Linked DNA regions of Saccharomyces cerevisiae S288C. Changing the gene in region 1 together with any one later gene gives a genetic interaction. Each region holds a gene or a part of one and is shown in the gene's direction. Other genes may lie near its edges.

The links. Genes that interact genetically often act in the same process or in processes that back each other up.
Region 2: mutations in RPL28 (region 1) and TIR4 together harm fitness more than expected from each alone (negative genetic interaction), as found in Saccharomyces cerevisiae (one large-scale study listed by BioGRID).
Region 3: mutations in RPL28 (region 1) and RKM4 together harm fitness more than expected from each alone (negative genetic interaction), as found in Saccharomyces cerevisiae (one large-scale study listed by BioGRID).

Annotation. Positions count from the first base shown.
Region 1 is NC_001139.9:308,631-316,374, forward strand, and holds RPL28 (60S ribosomal protein uL15 RPL28), read left to right. Parts: upstream 1-2,336; coding exon 2,337-2,385; intron 2,386-2,896; coding exon 2,897-3,297; downstream 3,298-7,744. Other genes in the region: VPS73 (putative sugar transporter), read right to left, coding at 83-1,543; YGK1 (5'-deoxynucleotidase), read left to right, coding at 3,563-4,210; SEH1 (Seh1p), read left to right, coding at 4,604-5,653; ribosome biogenesis GTPase LSG1, read left to right, coding at 6,001-7,744. UniProt on the Saccharomyces cerevisiae protein: Component of the ribosome, a large ribonucleoprotein complex responsible for the synthesis of proteins in the cell.
Region 2 is NC_001147.6:342,346-346,298, forward strand, and holds TIR4 (Tir4p), read left to right. Parts: upstream 1-1,989; coding exon 1,990-3,453; downstream 3,454-3,953. Other genes in the region: SLG1 (Slg1p), read right to left, coding at 1-69; YOR008C-A (uncharacterized protein), read right to left, coding at 512-736; TIR2 (putative GPI-anchored mannoprotein), read right to left, coding at 3,850-3,953. UniProt on the Saccharomyces cerevisiae protein: Component of the cell wall. Required for anaerobic growth.
Region 3 is NC_001136.10:969,490-973,393, reverse strand, and holds RKM4 (ribosomal lysine N-methyltransferase), read left to right. Parts: upstream 1-1,919; coding exon 1,920-3,404; downstream 3,405-3,904. Other genes in the region: chaperone ATPase HSP78, read left to right, coding at 1-1,586; CTA1 (catalase A), read left to right, coding at 3,714-3,904. UniProt on the Saccharomyces cerevisiae protein: S-adenosyl-L-methionine-dependent protein-lysine N-methyltransferase that monomethylates 60S ribosomal protein L42 (RPL42A and RPL42B) at 'Lys-55'.

The DNA of each region.
Region 1 (7,744 bases):
AATTCAAAGATTTATAAGTAAATGTCTTTGTGCTAATAACACGCCGTCCCGATACGCCTCAATGGTTAGCCCTTATTTCATTTTAGCCGCTCCTCTTGGTCTCCGGAACCTTCTTCCAGATAAAGGCGCTTATTGAGCATGCTATGATAGCAAAAATGATGAAAACATAACCTGACAAAACATCATGAATAATAGGGAAAGTATATGCAATGATAAAAGTTCCTACCCAATTGCAAATGGTACCATATCTTTGCGCAAGGACCATATCCTGTGGTTTTGATACTTCTCTCATTATTATAAATGGCAACGGATTTAACCCCATCGTGAAAACGCCCATATATATAAATGAAAACACAATCAAAAGGTTCATTTTATTATGGTTCATTGCTATTCCCATAATGAAGGCGGTAACAGAAACTAAGACGGTGGACGTCATCAGAAGCGGTTTACGTGGCAAACTATGAATTAGCAGAGAAACTAGTATGGTGACTAATACATTCACCATACTAATGAAAAAGTTTATCCTAATTGCGTGCTGAGGATACAGTTGACTAATTATCTTGGTACCATATAGTACAATGGAGTTTATACCGCAGAATTGTTGGCCAAATAACAATACAGTGATAACATGGCGAGACTTGACATTTGTTCTGTCCCTCAAGTATTTCCATAATGAATTAGAACCGCTAATAGAGTTCGTGGTGGTTGGTTCAATCAACGGATCCCCAGATTCTATTTGCAGTTGCCAATCCTGTATCTCTTGTGCGGCTTCATCAAAAGTCACGCCACGTAGCTTACATAGAGATAACTTAGCATCGGTGACTCTTCCATGTGCTAACAACCATTTTGGAGATTCATCGACTATAAACCACATGAAAAAATTCAATACCGCGATAAGGAAGCTACCAAACAAAATCCACCTCCAACGGTATGAATCAGTCAGTGGGAGGGCTATTCCTTGTGTCAACAAGACCCCTAACCTGATACAGATTTGTGTCATCGAACCCAGTAAACCTTCCCAACCGCTTGGAGCAACTTCCTTAATGAAAAGGGGTATAATCACGATCAAAGAGCCACACGAAATACCCACTAGAATTCTACCAATGATTAAGCCCCTATAACTATTCGAATTGAAGATTATCAGCGAACCGACGATATTCAATGTGCAGTTAATTAAACTTGAGAACTTCCTTCCATAAATATTGGCCAGACTGGTGGCAAAATAAGAGCCCAAAATGCCTCCAATGCAAAAAACGGAGGTCACGATTCCAATCTGTTCATCATTCAATGGTATACATTGCTTATATCCTCTTTTTCCCAGCCATGTTCTGTCATAGGGATAGCCCTCCATGGGAATGTCAAATTCTGAGCACGAAAGCACCTGCTGAGGTGCATTTAATTCCGACAAGTGGTAACCAAATTGTATTGAACCGATTGAGGCTACTATAATTGCATAACATAACGCCTTTGTAATTTTATGCTTGTTTTGCCTTGGCATGCTAACATTGGATAGCAACGATGCACTAGATAGAATCCTATTCATACTATGCTACGTACCTGTTTAACTCTTCTCATTTTATCCGTTTTCTTTCTTCACCGTTCCTCTTAAGTTCTTTATTTTTTTCATAACAGAATGATCACCCCTTTCACTTTGCCGCCAATATAATATTAACACACAAGAAATAAGTATGAGGTAGTTTGCTCTCGAAAAAACCAAGTAATAGTTCAAAAAATGAAAAAAAGAAAACAAATACCAAATTATGCCACCGTTACCTTACGTTTCATGGTTAATCATCGTTTACTGCCGCCTATGAGCGTAAGCTAATGTTATAAAGAAACAAGCTATAATATTGTTAAATATAGTTGATCAACAGCATTGTAATGATTACAAGAGACGAGGTGGAATGAACCTTATGAAATGCGTATTATATATAAACTGTAATAAGAGCTAAGTTGAATTGAAATCTACGATACTTGATGTTGACATTATAGCACTAGTTCCCAGGAAACCCTTTCGAAAAACACAGCAAAAACAAGAGTACTGTAACCAATGTAACATCTGTACACCAGGGACCCACACATTACCAAAATCAAAATTATTTTTCTAATGCCTGTTATTTTTCCTATTTTTCCTCTGGCGCGTGAATAGCCCGCAGAGACGCAAACAATTTTCCTCGCAGTTTTTCGCTTGTTTAATGCGTATTTTCCCAGATAGGTTCAAACCTTTCATCTGTATCCCGTATATTTAAGATGGCGTTTGCTTTCTCCGTTGATTTTTTTCCTTCTTAGTGATTTTTTTGCATTAAATCCCAGAACAATCATCCAACTAATCAAGAATGCCTTCCAGATTCACTAAGACTAGAAAGCACAGAGGTCACGTCTCAGGTATGTAGTTCCATTTGGAAGAGGGAATGAAAGAACCAAGACGGTGACTTTTTTTTTAGTGTTGTGCAACCAATATGTCGTGTGTATATCATGGTACAGGAGAATGTCAATCAGCTAAGTGTACTCAACATATTTCTTTGTGTTTTGATTGCGAACTTTGTATTACCATCTCACTGTTGAGACGGCTTATTTGAGGTAATAGCTCGAGTAAATGTACTCTTCCATCGCAAACTGAGCAAAAAGAAAGTGTGCATAGCCTTTGTCATACTTCTCCTTTATTATACCATGATATTCAGAACAGTCATACTGTCTACTCATTTTACGGCTATAAAAGGTAACTTTCATTTAGATTATGGAAAGCACTAATTATCGCTGTATCAAATGGTTGTAGAGAGCGCAATTATGAAAAAGAGTTACCACGTTTCTTTTGTTTCGATAAAATGTCCAGTTGAAAACCTGTTTTACTAACGATTTAAAAATTGTATTTCATTACAATATTTTTTTTGTACAGCCGGTAAAGGTCGTATCGGTAAGCACAGAAAGCACCCCGGTGGTAGAGGTATGGCCGGTGGTCAACATCACCACAGAATTAACATGGATAAATACCATCCAGGTTATTTCGGTAAGGTTGGTATGAGATACTTCCACAAGCAACAAGCTCATTTCTGGAAGCCAGTCTTGAACTTGGACAAATTGTGGACATTGATCCCAGAAGACAAGAGAGACCAATACTTGAAATCTGCTTCTAAGGAAACTGCTCCAGTTATTGACACTTTGGCAGCCGGTTACGGTAAGATCTTGGGTAAGGGTAGAATTCCAAATGTTCCAGTTATCGTCAAAGCTAGATTCGTCTCCAAGTTGGCTGAAGAAAAAATCAGAGCTGCTGGTGGTGTTGTTGAATTGATCGCTTAAGCGCATCAACAAAAACTCTATGTATTTTCCAATAAATTATATATCTTCAGTTTAATCTAATTCAACATCTACTTCTGTATTATTTCTATCACCCATTTTCACCGTTTTTTCGTCTTGTCTATTTTGAAGTTACCAGTGGCAGATCCCAACGCTTTTATCGCTTTTTTAAAAGATTTTCAAAATCCATATATAAACATAGGGTCCAAAAAGAAAACAAATAACAAAACAAGAAAACCTATTCGAGGTAAAGACCAGGAAAAACAAAATGACTGCAGTTAACATCTGGAAGCCAGAAGATAATATACCTAGGGAGATTTTGGCAATTCTTTCGAAACCTCACCCAAATTATCAGTTAGCGTTTTTGAATATTATACAACTTTTGAAAACGCAAAGAAGAACTGGTTGGGTTGACCATGGTATTGACCCATGCGAAAGTATATCTGACCATATGTACAGAATGGGTTTAACTACCATGCTGATTACGGACAAGAATGTTGATCGTAACAAATGTATCAGAATCGCACTTGTTCACGATTTTGCGGAGTCATTAGTTGGTGATATTACACCTAATGACCCAATGACAAAGGAAGAGAAACATCGCAGAGAATTTGAAACTGTCAAGTATCTCTGTGAAAGCATAATAAGGCCCTGCAGTGAAAGCGCATCTAGGGAAATTCTTGATGACTGGTTAGCATACGAAAAGCAGACCTGTTTGGAAGGAAGATATGTCAAAGATATTGATAAGTATGAAATGTTGGTTCAATGTTTTGAGTACGAACAAAAGTATAATGGCAAGAAGGATTTGAAACAATTTTTGGGAGCCATCAATGATATAAAAACTGATGAAGTTAAAAAATGGACACAATCTTTACTGGAAGATCGACAAGCCTTTTTCGACAGTTTGAAGGAGTAATAATGTGGCCTTTTGAAAGAAAAGTTAGTGCTTTTTTTTCTTTTCTCAAACCTTCACCTGGTGGTGCGTATCATTTATAATAACATCTTGATGCTTTTCAACGAGATAGTGCCCATTTTATTTTGCATGTATTATACTTCCAGCACCCGGTGTGCATTATATGTAACTTTAGAAATAATCTTTTGTATATTATTCGCGATTGAATGTGCGTGCTGCATTATCAACCAAGTTTTAATATATCTGTTTCTCTTATTTATTGTTAGTTAAGTCTTCGGCAAAACGATGGAAAAAATCATGAACTGAATAGAGACAAGTAAACCAAATTATAAACAAGGTTTCCCTTCTGAAGAGATACTAAGGAAGAAGAAGAACGACCCAATAATATTTCTGAATATGCAACCATTTGATAGTGGGCATGATGATTTAGTTCATGATGTCGTTTATGACTTTTACGGAAGACATGTGGCAACATGCTCTTCTGATCAACATATTAAAGTTTTTAAATTAGACAAGGACACGAGTAATTGGGAACTCAGTGACTCATGGAGAGCTCACGACAGTAGTATCGTGGCCATTGATTGGGCCAGTCCAGAATATGGGCGCATCATTGCTTCAGCCTCTTACGATAAGACGGTAAAATTATGGGAAGAAGATCCCGACCAAGAAGAATGCTCTGGCCGTCGTTGGAACAAGCTGTGTACCCTGAATGATTCCAAAGGATCACTTTATAGTGTAAAATTTGCGCCAGCGCATTTGGGCTTAAAATTAGCTTGTTTGGGTAACGATGGAATCCTCAGACTTTATGATGCCTTAGAACCTTCTGACCTAAGGTCATGGACACTGACTTCTGAGATGAAAGTGCTATCTATACCACCAGCAAATCATTTACAGTCTGATTTTTGTCTCTCTTGGTGTCCTTCGAGATTTTCTCCTGAAAAGCTCGCAGTCTCTGCATTGGAACAAGCGATTATATACCAAAGGGGTAAAGACGGTAAACTTCACGTTGCAGCAAAACTTCCCGGTCATAAAAGTTTAATAAGAAGTATCAGCTGGGCTCCTTCCATTGGTAGATGGTATCAACTCATTGCAACAGGTTGCAAAGATGGTAGAATTAGAATTTTCAAAATCACAGAAAAACTAAGTCCCCTGGCCTCAGAGGAGTCTTTAACTAACTCAAATATGTTTGATAATAGTGCTGATGTTGACATGGATGCACAGGGCAGATCAGACTCAAATACCGAAGAGAAAGCTGAGCTACAATCAAACTTGCAAGTTGAACTTCTAAGCGAGCATGATGACCATAATGGCGAAGTTTGGTCCGTGTCTTGGAATTTAACGGGTACAATCTTAAGCAGTGCTGGGGATGATGGGAAGGTACGTTTATGGAAAGCCACTTATTCAAATGAATTTAAGTGTATGTCAGTAATTACTGCCCAACAATAAATAAGAATATATGTATACATAACATTATATATTGGTACTTTATACGTGTGCATTATTCTGTATAATACGAGGCAACAGATGAATCAAGAAAGATGATGCTTTTAAAAAGCTCTTACAAATATAATGATATTACATCAAATGATATTATTATTCTTGATATTGGGTATTCTTTCGAATTATATCAAGCTTCCCTTCCCTCGCCTTTTCGCCTGGAAATTTTTCAATGCCGAGATTAAAAAATTTGTCAATGAAAATGCATTCTACTACTTAATAAAGAGGTGATGAGCTTATAAGCCAACTTCTTTTAAACACAAAACTAAATCTGATATTGAGGACCCCCACCAACTATGCCACCAAAAGAAGCTCCCAAGAAATGGAAGGCGCCAAAAGGGCCAAAACCTACCCACCGTAAAAATAAAAATAAGCTTGAATTAGGCAGAGCTATTAAATATGCACGTCAAAAAGAAAATGCCATCGAGTATTTACCTGATGGTGAAATGAGGTTCACTACCGATAAGCATGAGGCCAACTGGGTTAAATTAAGATCTGTAACTCAAGAATCAGCTTTAGATGAATTCTTGAGTACAGCTGCACTGGCAGACAAAGATTTCACGGCCGATAGACATTCAAATGTTAAAATTATTAGAATGGATAGCGGTAATGATTCTGCGACATCTCAAGGGTTTTCTATGACTAATGAGCAGCGTGGAAATCTTAATGCGAAGCAAAGAGCGCTTGCTAAGGATTTGATTGTTCCAAGGAGGCCTGAATGGAACGAGGGCATGTCCAAGTTTCAGCTTGATAGGCAAGAAAAGGAAGCGTTTTTAGAATGGAGAAGAAAATTGGCACATTTACAAGAAAGCAATGAAGACTTGTTGTTAACACCGTTTGAAAGAAATATCGAAGTTTGGAAACAGTTATGGAGAGTTGTTGAAAGATCAGATTTAGTTGTTCAAATTGTAGATGCGAGGAATCCGTTGCTGTTTAGATCTGTCGATTTAGAAAGATATGTAAAAGAGTCAGATGACAGAAAAGCAAACTTACTGCTAGTTAATAAAGCAGATTTATTGACCAAAAAGCAACGTATCGCTTGGGCAAAGTACTTTATCTCCAAGAATATTTCGTTCACGTTTTACTCTGCATTGAGAGCTAATCAATTATTGGAGAAACAAAAGGAAATGGGGGAAGATTATAGAGAACAAGATTTCGAGGAAGCTGATAAAGAAGGGTTCGATGCTGATGAAAAAGTTATGGAAAAAGTTAAAATTCTGTCCATTGACCAACTGGAAGAATTGTTTTTATCAAAAGCTCCAAACGAGCCTTTATTGCCACCTCTGCCCGGTCAACCTCCACTGATTAATATTGGTTTGGTTGGTTATCCAAATGTAGGTAAATCCTCCACTATTAATTCGCTCGTGGGTGCCAAGAAAGTTTCTGTTTCATCCACGCCTGGTAAAACAAAACACTTCCAAACTATTAAGTTATCTGATTCTGTCATGCTTTGTGACTGTCCCGGTCTTGTCTTCCCAAACTTTGCATATAACAAGGGTGAGCTCGTGTGTAATGGTGTTTTACCTATTGATCAATTACGTGATTATATTGGTCCAGCAGGTTTAGTAGCAGAAAGAATACCAAAGTATTACATTGAAGCGATTTATGGTATCCATATTCAAACCAAATCAAGGGATGAAGGTGGGAATGGGGATATACCAACTGCTCAAGAATTGTTAGTCGCATACGCCAGAGCTCGTGGTTATATGACTCAAGGTTACGGTTCTGCTGATGAACCAAGAGCAAGTCGTTATATATTGAAAGATTACGTCAATGGGAAATTACTGTATGTCAACCCTCCGCCCCATCTAGAGGATGATACACCTTACACTAGAGAAGAGTGTGAAGAATTTAACAAAGATTTATATGTGTTCGACAGATTACCGGACACCAGAAAGGAGCAAGTGCAAAATGCTGCTAAGGCTAAAGGCATTGATATCGTGGATTTAGCTCGTGATTTGAATCAGCTAACGTTTTCAGCTCACACTGGTGGTGACACACAAAAAGAAGCCAAATCTGTTACGCACGGTGGTAAACAAG
Region 2 (3,953 bases), on another chromosome or scaffold:
TTCATAGGCGTTCGCTTGCGATAAAATGGATAATAACGCCAGAAGCAGACTTGTTTTGTTCGGTCTCATTATTTAAATAGAATTTTTTATCCTGAGTACTAAATCAGCCAACGTACTATCCTGAATAAATGTGATGCAGATTCCTTTTTCTCCTCTTGGTTATCTCTCTTTTTCTCTCTCCTTATTAAAAAATTTACGGACAACGAGGAGCTTCTTTCTTGTTTACCTTGATTACCCTTTAAGCAATAACAATATCAATACGAGATTTTCTGTAATGTTAGTGCCTGGTCGAGTTTACTGTATCGTCCAAGAAAACTACACTGCGTTAAATTCTTCCAAATGAGGCTATGATACGCCAAACACTTTTATTTTTCCCCTCCGTTTCTCTCGCTTTCGCTTCGAAAATTACATTATTTTCTTCCCCATGCAGCGTTATTTCCATCTTCAGAGAGGAAAGGCGGAGAAAATTTTTCTTGAGGAAGGAATTCTACGAAAGTAGTCAACTATATTACTAATCGTTTGACATAGAATGCCAAAGTTGCAGCTTTTCCACTAACGTCAAATTTGCGTAACAAGCGCTGCTGTGTAAACTGTCTTGCTTTTTAATAGGACTGACAAAAATTATAAGCGGAGAGATAATATTTAATACTGCCATTGACCTTAGTACCGGTACAGGACAATATGTTTGTATCCTTGGTGTCATAAAGAAGAGAAAAACAAGATAAGATCTCCACATTATTTTGCAGAAGGCGACTTTGGGGGCCGATGATATCTGCTTCCAGAAGTATGTAAAAAAATTACACACCATTAAGTTCTTATGTAAACCGAAGTCTGGAAGAGAGGTGGTGGAATTTCCAGTCTGCTACTAGGCAAAAAACTTGAAACACTTTCATATATGATGTTGTTTTGCCGAGCTATTACAAGACGATTTATCATAAACTACTTGCTTGAGCAGGAACGATTTCACAATCTGTTTAGCAGGTTGTTATGAAGTAGACACGATAAAGTTCTTGAAGAAAGATTGTGGATGGGTTTGCTGAAGCTTAGAACTAAGAAAAGAAACAAGCACGCGCAAGAAAACCGCTACGGCTAACTTCTAAGGTGAGGATATTGTGATTGTTTATGCCTCATATTTTGCGTTTTTATATGTTCTTCCTTCATACGGCGTGCAAATTATCCGCCGGCGAACAGGGTGCTATTCTAAAAGGAACTTTGAAACTGTAAACGCGGTGTACTGAAGGGGTCATCTGAACGAACAATATTTTATGCTTTTGTTAGCCAAACGGTACTGATAAGGGACTGTGAAAAAAAAAAGACAATGTATGGGGTTCACGGTTTCCCAGATTCGTGTGTGTGTAATAATTCGTTTACGGCGCACGACAGACACTTCAGGAAATTTAAAGATCAGAATAGGCATACACTCCGCGCAAGGAAAACAAAAGTTGCTACCGTAACCGGCTCGTACGGGGAAAGCAAGGTCATCTAGTGCTCACTTACGAACTGGCATAATCGAGTTGTGACTTCCAAACTTAACCGTACTCTCACAGCTGATGTGATCCGAAGAAAACCCTGAAGATACAACAATGGCAACCAAAGGCAACTTAAAAAGGCAAACGAAGTACTTTTCAACAATAGCTTACACTGAAACTCGCGGAGAGGCGACGCTGCGCGCGAATTATCAGTAAAAATCTCGTAACAACCCATCTGCCACTTTTAGAAGGAATGGAAATTCTCAAAAAATGACGGAAAATAATAGAACAGGGTTCCTAAACGATGCATTTCTAACAAGTAGGATAGTCCAAAAGGGAGGATGCAAATTCTTTGTTTTCCACGCAGTAAGATATGATCCCAAGCTTTCGAATATAAAAAGGGAAGGATCGCTAGGACAGATCAGTTTTTAGCCCGTTTACTTATCTCGTTCCCTACTCTTGTTCTGATAGAAACCAGCAACAAAAACCTATTCACTCGCTTATTAATACCATAAAAAATATGGCTTACTCTAAAATCACATTACTAGCCGCTCTTGCTGCTATTGCTTACGCTCAAACCCAAGCACAAATCAACGAATTGAACGTTGTTTTAGATGATGTTAAGACCAACATTGCCGACTACATCACCCTATCCTACACTCCAAATTCAGGTTTTTCCTTGGACCAAATGCCAGCTGGTATTATGGATATTGCTGCGCAATTGGTTGCAAATCCAAGTGATGACTCCTACACCACTTTGTACTCTGAAGTGGACTTTTCTGCTGTTGAGCATATGTTGACTATGGTCCCATGGTACTCTTCTAGACTGCTTCCAGAATTAGAAGCAATGGATGCTTCTCTAACTACCTCAAGTTCTGCTGCCACATCTTCAAGTGAAGTTGCTAGCTCTTCTATTGCTTCATCCACTAGCTCTTCTGTTGCACCATCCTCAAGTGAAGTTGTCAGCTCTTCCGTTGCACCATCCTCAAGTGAAGTTGTCAGCTCTTCCGTTGCACCATCCTCAAGTGAAGTTGTCAGCTCTTCCGTTGCTTCATCCTCAAGTGAAGTTGCCAGCTCCTCTGTTGCGCCATCCTCAAGTGAAGTTGTCAGCTCTTCCGTTGCTTCATCCTCAAGTGAAGTTGCCAGCTCCTCTGTTGCGCCATCCTCAAGTGAAGTTGTCAGCTCTTCCGTTGCACCATCCTCAAGTGAAGTTGTCAGCTCTTCCGTTGCTTCATCCTCAAGTGAAGTTGCCAGCTCCTCTGTTGCGCCATCCTCAAGTGAAGTTGTCAGCTCTTCCGTTGCTTCTTCTACAAGCGAAGCTACTAGTTCTTCTGCTGTCACATCTTCCTCCGCTGTTTCCTCTTCGACCGAGTCTGTTAGCTCTTCCTCTGTCAGTTCTTCCTCAGCCGTTTCCTCTTCTGAAGCTGTCAGTTCCTCTCCAGTTTCCTCAGTTGTTTCATCTTCGGCCGGACCTGCTAGCTCAAGCGTTGCTCCTTACAACTCAACCATTGCTAGCTCTTCTTCCACTGCCCAGACTTCTATCTCGACCATTGCTCCTTACAACTCCACAACCACCACCACCCCAGCTAGTTCTGCTTCCAGCGTTATTATCTCAACCAGAAACGGTACCACTGTTACTGAAACTGACAACACTCTTGTCACCAAAGAAACCACTGTCTGTGACTACTCTTCAACATCTGCCGTTCCAGCTTCCACCACCGGTTACAACAATTCTACTAAGGTTTCAACCGCTACTATCTGCAGTACATGCAAAGAAGGTACCTCTACTGCAACTGACTTCTCTACACTAAAGACTACAGTTACCGTATGTGACTCCGCCTGTCAAGCTAAGAAGTCTGCTACCGTTGTTAGCGTTCAATCTAAAACTACCGGTATCGTTGAACAAACCGAAAACGGTGCTGCCAAGGCTGTTATCGGTATGGGTGCCGGTGCTTTAGCTGCTGTTGCCGCCATGCTACTATGATTTTAGTACGTGTCGAAAATGTTCGTTCCGCTTATGATTATATTATTATTTCAACTTACCAGTTAATGCTTAACTTTTAAACTGTCATATGTACTTCTCTGTATTATATAAAAACTGACAACTGGCCTTTTCTATTGTTGATTTCTTTCATCCATCGTTAAATATTTTCAGAATGTGGGCAGGAAGACATGCATGTTTGAAGGTGCCTATCCTAGCATCATCATAAAAGAAAACGGTAAATCATTTCCGTTTTCAAAACGTACACTACAGCCTCCAGTTGATGAAATCAGTTCTCACAATAATTCGAGGTTTAAAAGAAACAGTAAAATTTAAAAAAAACTATTCAATAGATAAATTGGTATATACGAACATTAAAAATTCCATTTAAAAATGAGATTATAATAACATGGCGGCAGCGGCCATGACACCAGCACCCATACCGATGACAGCCTTGGCAGCACCGTTTTCAGTTTGTTCGGAAACAGTGCTAGTGGCTTGAA
Region 3 (3,904 bases), on another chromosome or scaffold:
TACTAAGAGGTTTAAAAGAAAGGTACGAGGTTCATCATGGTGTAAGGATCACTGATACAGCTTTAGTGTCTGCTGCAGTTCTTTCAAATCGTTATATAACAGACAGGTTTCTACCTGATAAAGCCATTGATCTAGTTGACGAAGCTTGTGCTGTACTACGTTTACAACATGAATCCAAACCGGATGAAATACAGAAACTGGATCGTGCTATTATGAAAATACAAATAGAACTGGAATCTTTAAAGAAAGAGACCGACCCTGTTTCCGTGGAAAGAAGAGAAGCGTTGGAAAAGGACCTAGAAATGAAAAATGATGAATTAAACAGATTAACAAAAATATGGGACGCTGAAAGAGCTGAAATTGAATCTATCAAAAATGCTAAGGCAAATTTGGAACAAGCAAGAATTGAGTTGGAAAAGTGTCAGAGAGAGGGTGATTACACTAAAGCATCCGAGTTGCGATATTCCAGAATTCCTGACTTGGAGAAGAAGGTAGCTTTAAGCGAGAAGAGTAAGGACGGAGATAAAGTAAATTTACTTCATGATTCAGTTACTTCTGACGATATTTCTAAGGTTGTTGCCAAAATGACTGGTATTCCTACAGAAACGGTGATGAAAGGCGACAAGGACCGCCTACTGTATATGGAAAATTCTTTAAAAGAAAGAGTCGTTGGCCAAGACGAGGCCATTGCTGCTATTTCTGATGCTGTACGTCTTCAAAGGGCTGGTTTGACCAGTGAAAAGAGACCTATTGCCAGCTTTATGTTCTTAGGTCCTACTGGTACTGGTAAAACAGAATTGACCAAGGCTTTAGCTGAATTCCTATTTGATGACGAATCAAATGTGATTCGTTTTGACATGTCAGAATTTCAAGAGAAGCATACTGTCTCTCGTTTAATCGGTGCACCTCCAGGTTACGTCTTAAGCGAATCTGGTGGCCAATTAACTGAGGCTGTCAGAAGAAAGCCTTATGCTGTCGTTTTATTTGATGAATTTGAAAAAGCGCACCCCGATGTTTCCAAACTACTGTTGCAAGTGTTGGATGAAGGTAAGCTGACCGATTCCCTAGGCCATCATGTTGATTTCCGTAACACGATCATTGTGATGACCTCAAACATTGGACAAGATATTTTATTAAACGACACAAAGTTGGGTGATGATGGTAAGATTGACACCGCAACCAAGAATAAAGTTATCGAAGCAATGAAAAGATCCTATCCACCTGAGTTCATCAATCGTATTGATGATATTCTAGTTTTCAATAGGCTATCCAAGAAAGTTTTGAGGTCAATTGTTGATATTAGAATTGCAGAAATTCAAGATCGTTTGGCCGAAAAAAGAATGAAAATTGATTTAACTGATGAAGCGAAGGATTGGCTAACTGACAAAGGCTACGATCAATTATATGGTGCAAGGCCATTGAATAGATTAATTCATAGACAGATTTTGAACTCCATGGCAACTTTCTTATTAAAAGGTCAAATTAGAAACGGCGAAACTGTTAGAGTGGTGGTTAAAGATACTAAGCTTGTCGTGCTACCAAATCATGAAGAAGGCGAAGTTGTTGAAGAGGAAGCTGAAAAGTAACTGCACAAGCGGTTTATGAATAATAAATTCCCAAGAAAATACATATATAAACATACACATTTCTCTTTTGTAAATAGAAGAATTAAAATAAAAGATTTTTGGTATCAAATAAACTGGATGAATGTTACATGTACCAAGTGCCCTGGCAATACAATAAAGCTATTGGTCTGGAAGTATTGATATTATTCAAATGTAATCTTCGAGAGTTACTGCGGGTAATACACACATGTGTCACATATTTTTCTCTCGAGTATGAAAAAATTTCATTACCTTTGTAAAAGCTTAATACGATCATTTCAATATGACTAGTAATAAAGGGGAAAGTTTGCGAAAATGGATGATTTTTCAAGAGATACCGAAAACTTTGTTTGCTGGTTAAAAACTACCGCTGAAATTGAAGTATCCCCTAAGATAGAAATCAAAGATCTTTGTTGTGATAATCAAGGCCGCGCAGTAGTTGCCACTCAAAAGATTAAGAAGGATGAAACATTGTTTAAAATACCTCGTAGTTCTGTTTTAAGCGTTACAACATCTCAACTGATAAAGGATTATCCTTCTCTCAAGGATAAGTTCCTGAACGAAACCGGATCGTGGGAAGGTTTAATTATCTGTATACTTTATGAGATGGAAGTTTTGCAAGAAAGAAGCCGATGGGCGCCTTACTTTAAAGTTTGGAACAAACCAAGCGATATGAACGCGTTAATTTTTTGGGATGATAATGAACTGCAACTTTTAAAACCATCACTTGTCCTTGAAAGAATAGGAAAAAAGGAAGCCAAAGAGATGCATGAAAGAATTATTAAATCAATCAAACAAATTGGTGGAGAATTTTCACGTGTAGCGACGTCCTTCGAGTTTGATAATTTTGCCTATATTGCAAGCATTATATTGAGTTACTCCTTTGATTTGGAAATGCAAGATAGTAGTGTAAATGAAAATGAAGAAGAAGAAACCAGTGAAGAAGAACTTGAAAATGAGCGCTACTTGAAATCGATGATTCCACTTGCTGATATGTTGAATGCAGATACCAGTAAATGCAACGCTAATTTAACTTACGACTCTAACTGTTTAAAGATGGTTGCTTTGAGGGATATTGAAAAGAATGAACAAGTGTACAACATATACGGAGAACATCCAAATTCGGAACTACTAAGAAGATATGGGTATGTTGAATGGGACGGTTCGAAGTATGATTTTGGAGAAGTGTTACTTGAAAATATTGTCGAGGCGTTAAAAGAGACTTTTGAGACGAATACTGAATTTTTGGACAGGTGTATTGATATCTTACGCAATAACGCCAATATTCAAGAATTCTTAGAAGGTGAAGAAATAGTACTAGATTCATATGATTGTTATAATAATGGTGAATTGTTGCCTCAACTAATACTTTTGGTCCAAATCTTGACAATTCTTTGCCAAATTCCAGGTTTATGCAAACTGGACATAAAAGCAATGGAAAGGCAAGTGGAGAGAATTGTAAAGAAGTGTTTACAATTGATAGAAGGTGCCCGCGCCACTACAAACTGTAGTGCCACATGGAAACGTTGTATTATGAAGCGTCTAGCCGATTACCCCATAAAAAAGTGCGTTTCTATCGAAAAACCTTCGAAAGGAAACTCATTAACAAGGGAAGAACTAAGAGATGTTATGGCTCGGAGAGTTTTGAAAAGCGAAATAGATTCGCTGCAAGTTTGTGAAGAAACCATCGACAAGAATTACAAGGTTATTCCTGATGAAAAGCTGCTAACTAATATTTTAAAGAGAAAGTTGACAGAGGAAGAAAAAAGCTCTGTCAAACGTCCTTGCGTGAAGAAGTGAGCGGTTGTTCTAACCACTATTTAAAGCCGCAATTAGTAATGCAAAAAGTTGGCCGGAATTAGCCGCGCAAGTTGGTGGGGTCCCTTAATCCGAAAAAGGACGGCTTTAACAAATATAAACTCCGAAAATCCCCACAGTGACAGAATTGGAGAAACAACCAGTTTTGATATCGCCATACATATAAAGAGATGTAGAAAGCATTCTTCACTGTAATGTCCAAATCGTACATTTGAATTTCTTGTAGGTTTATTTAAAAGGTAAGTTAAATAAATATAATAGTACTTACAAATAAATTTGGAACCCTAGAAGATGTCGAAATTGGGACAAGAAAAAAATGAAGTAAATTACTCTGATGTAAGAGAGGATAGAGTTGTGACAAACTCCACTGGTAATCCAATCAATGAACCATTTGTCACCCAACGTATTGGGGAACATGGCCCTTTGCTTTTGCAAGATTATAACTTAATTGATTCTTTGGCTCATTTCAACAGGGAAAATAT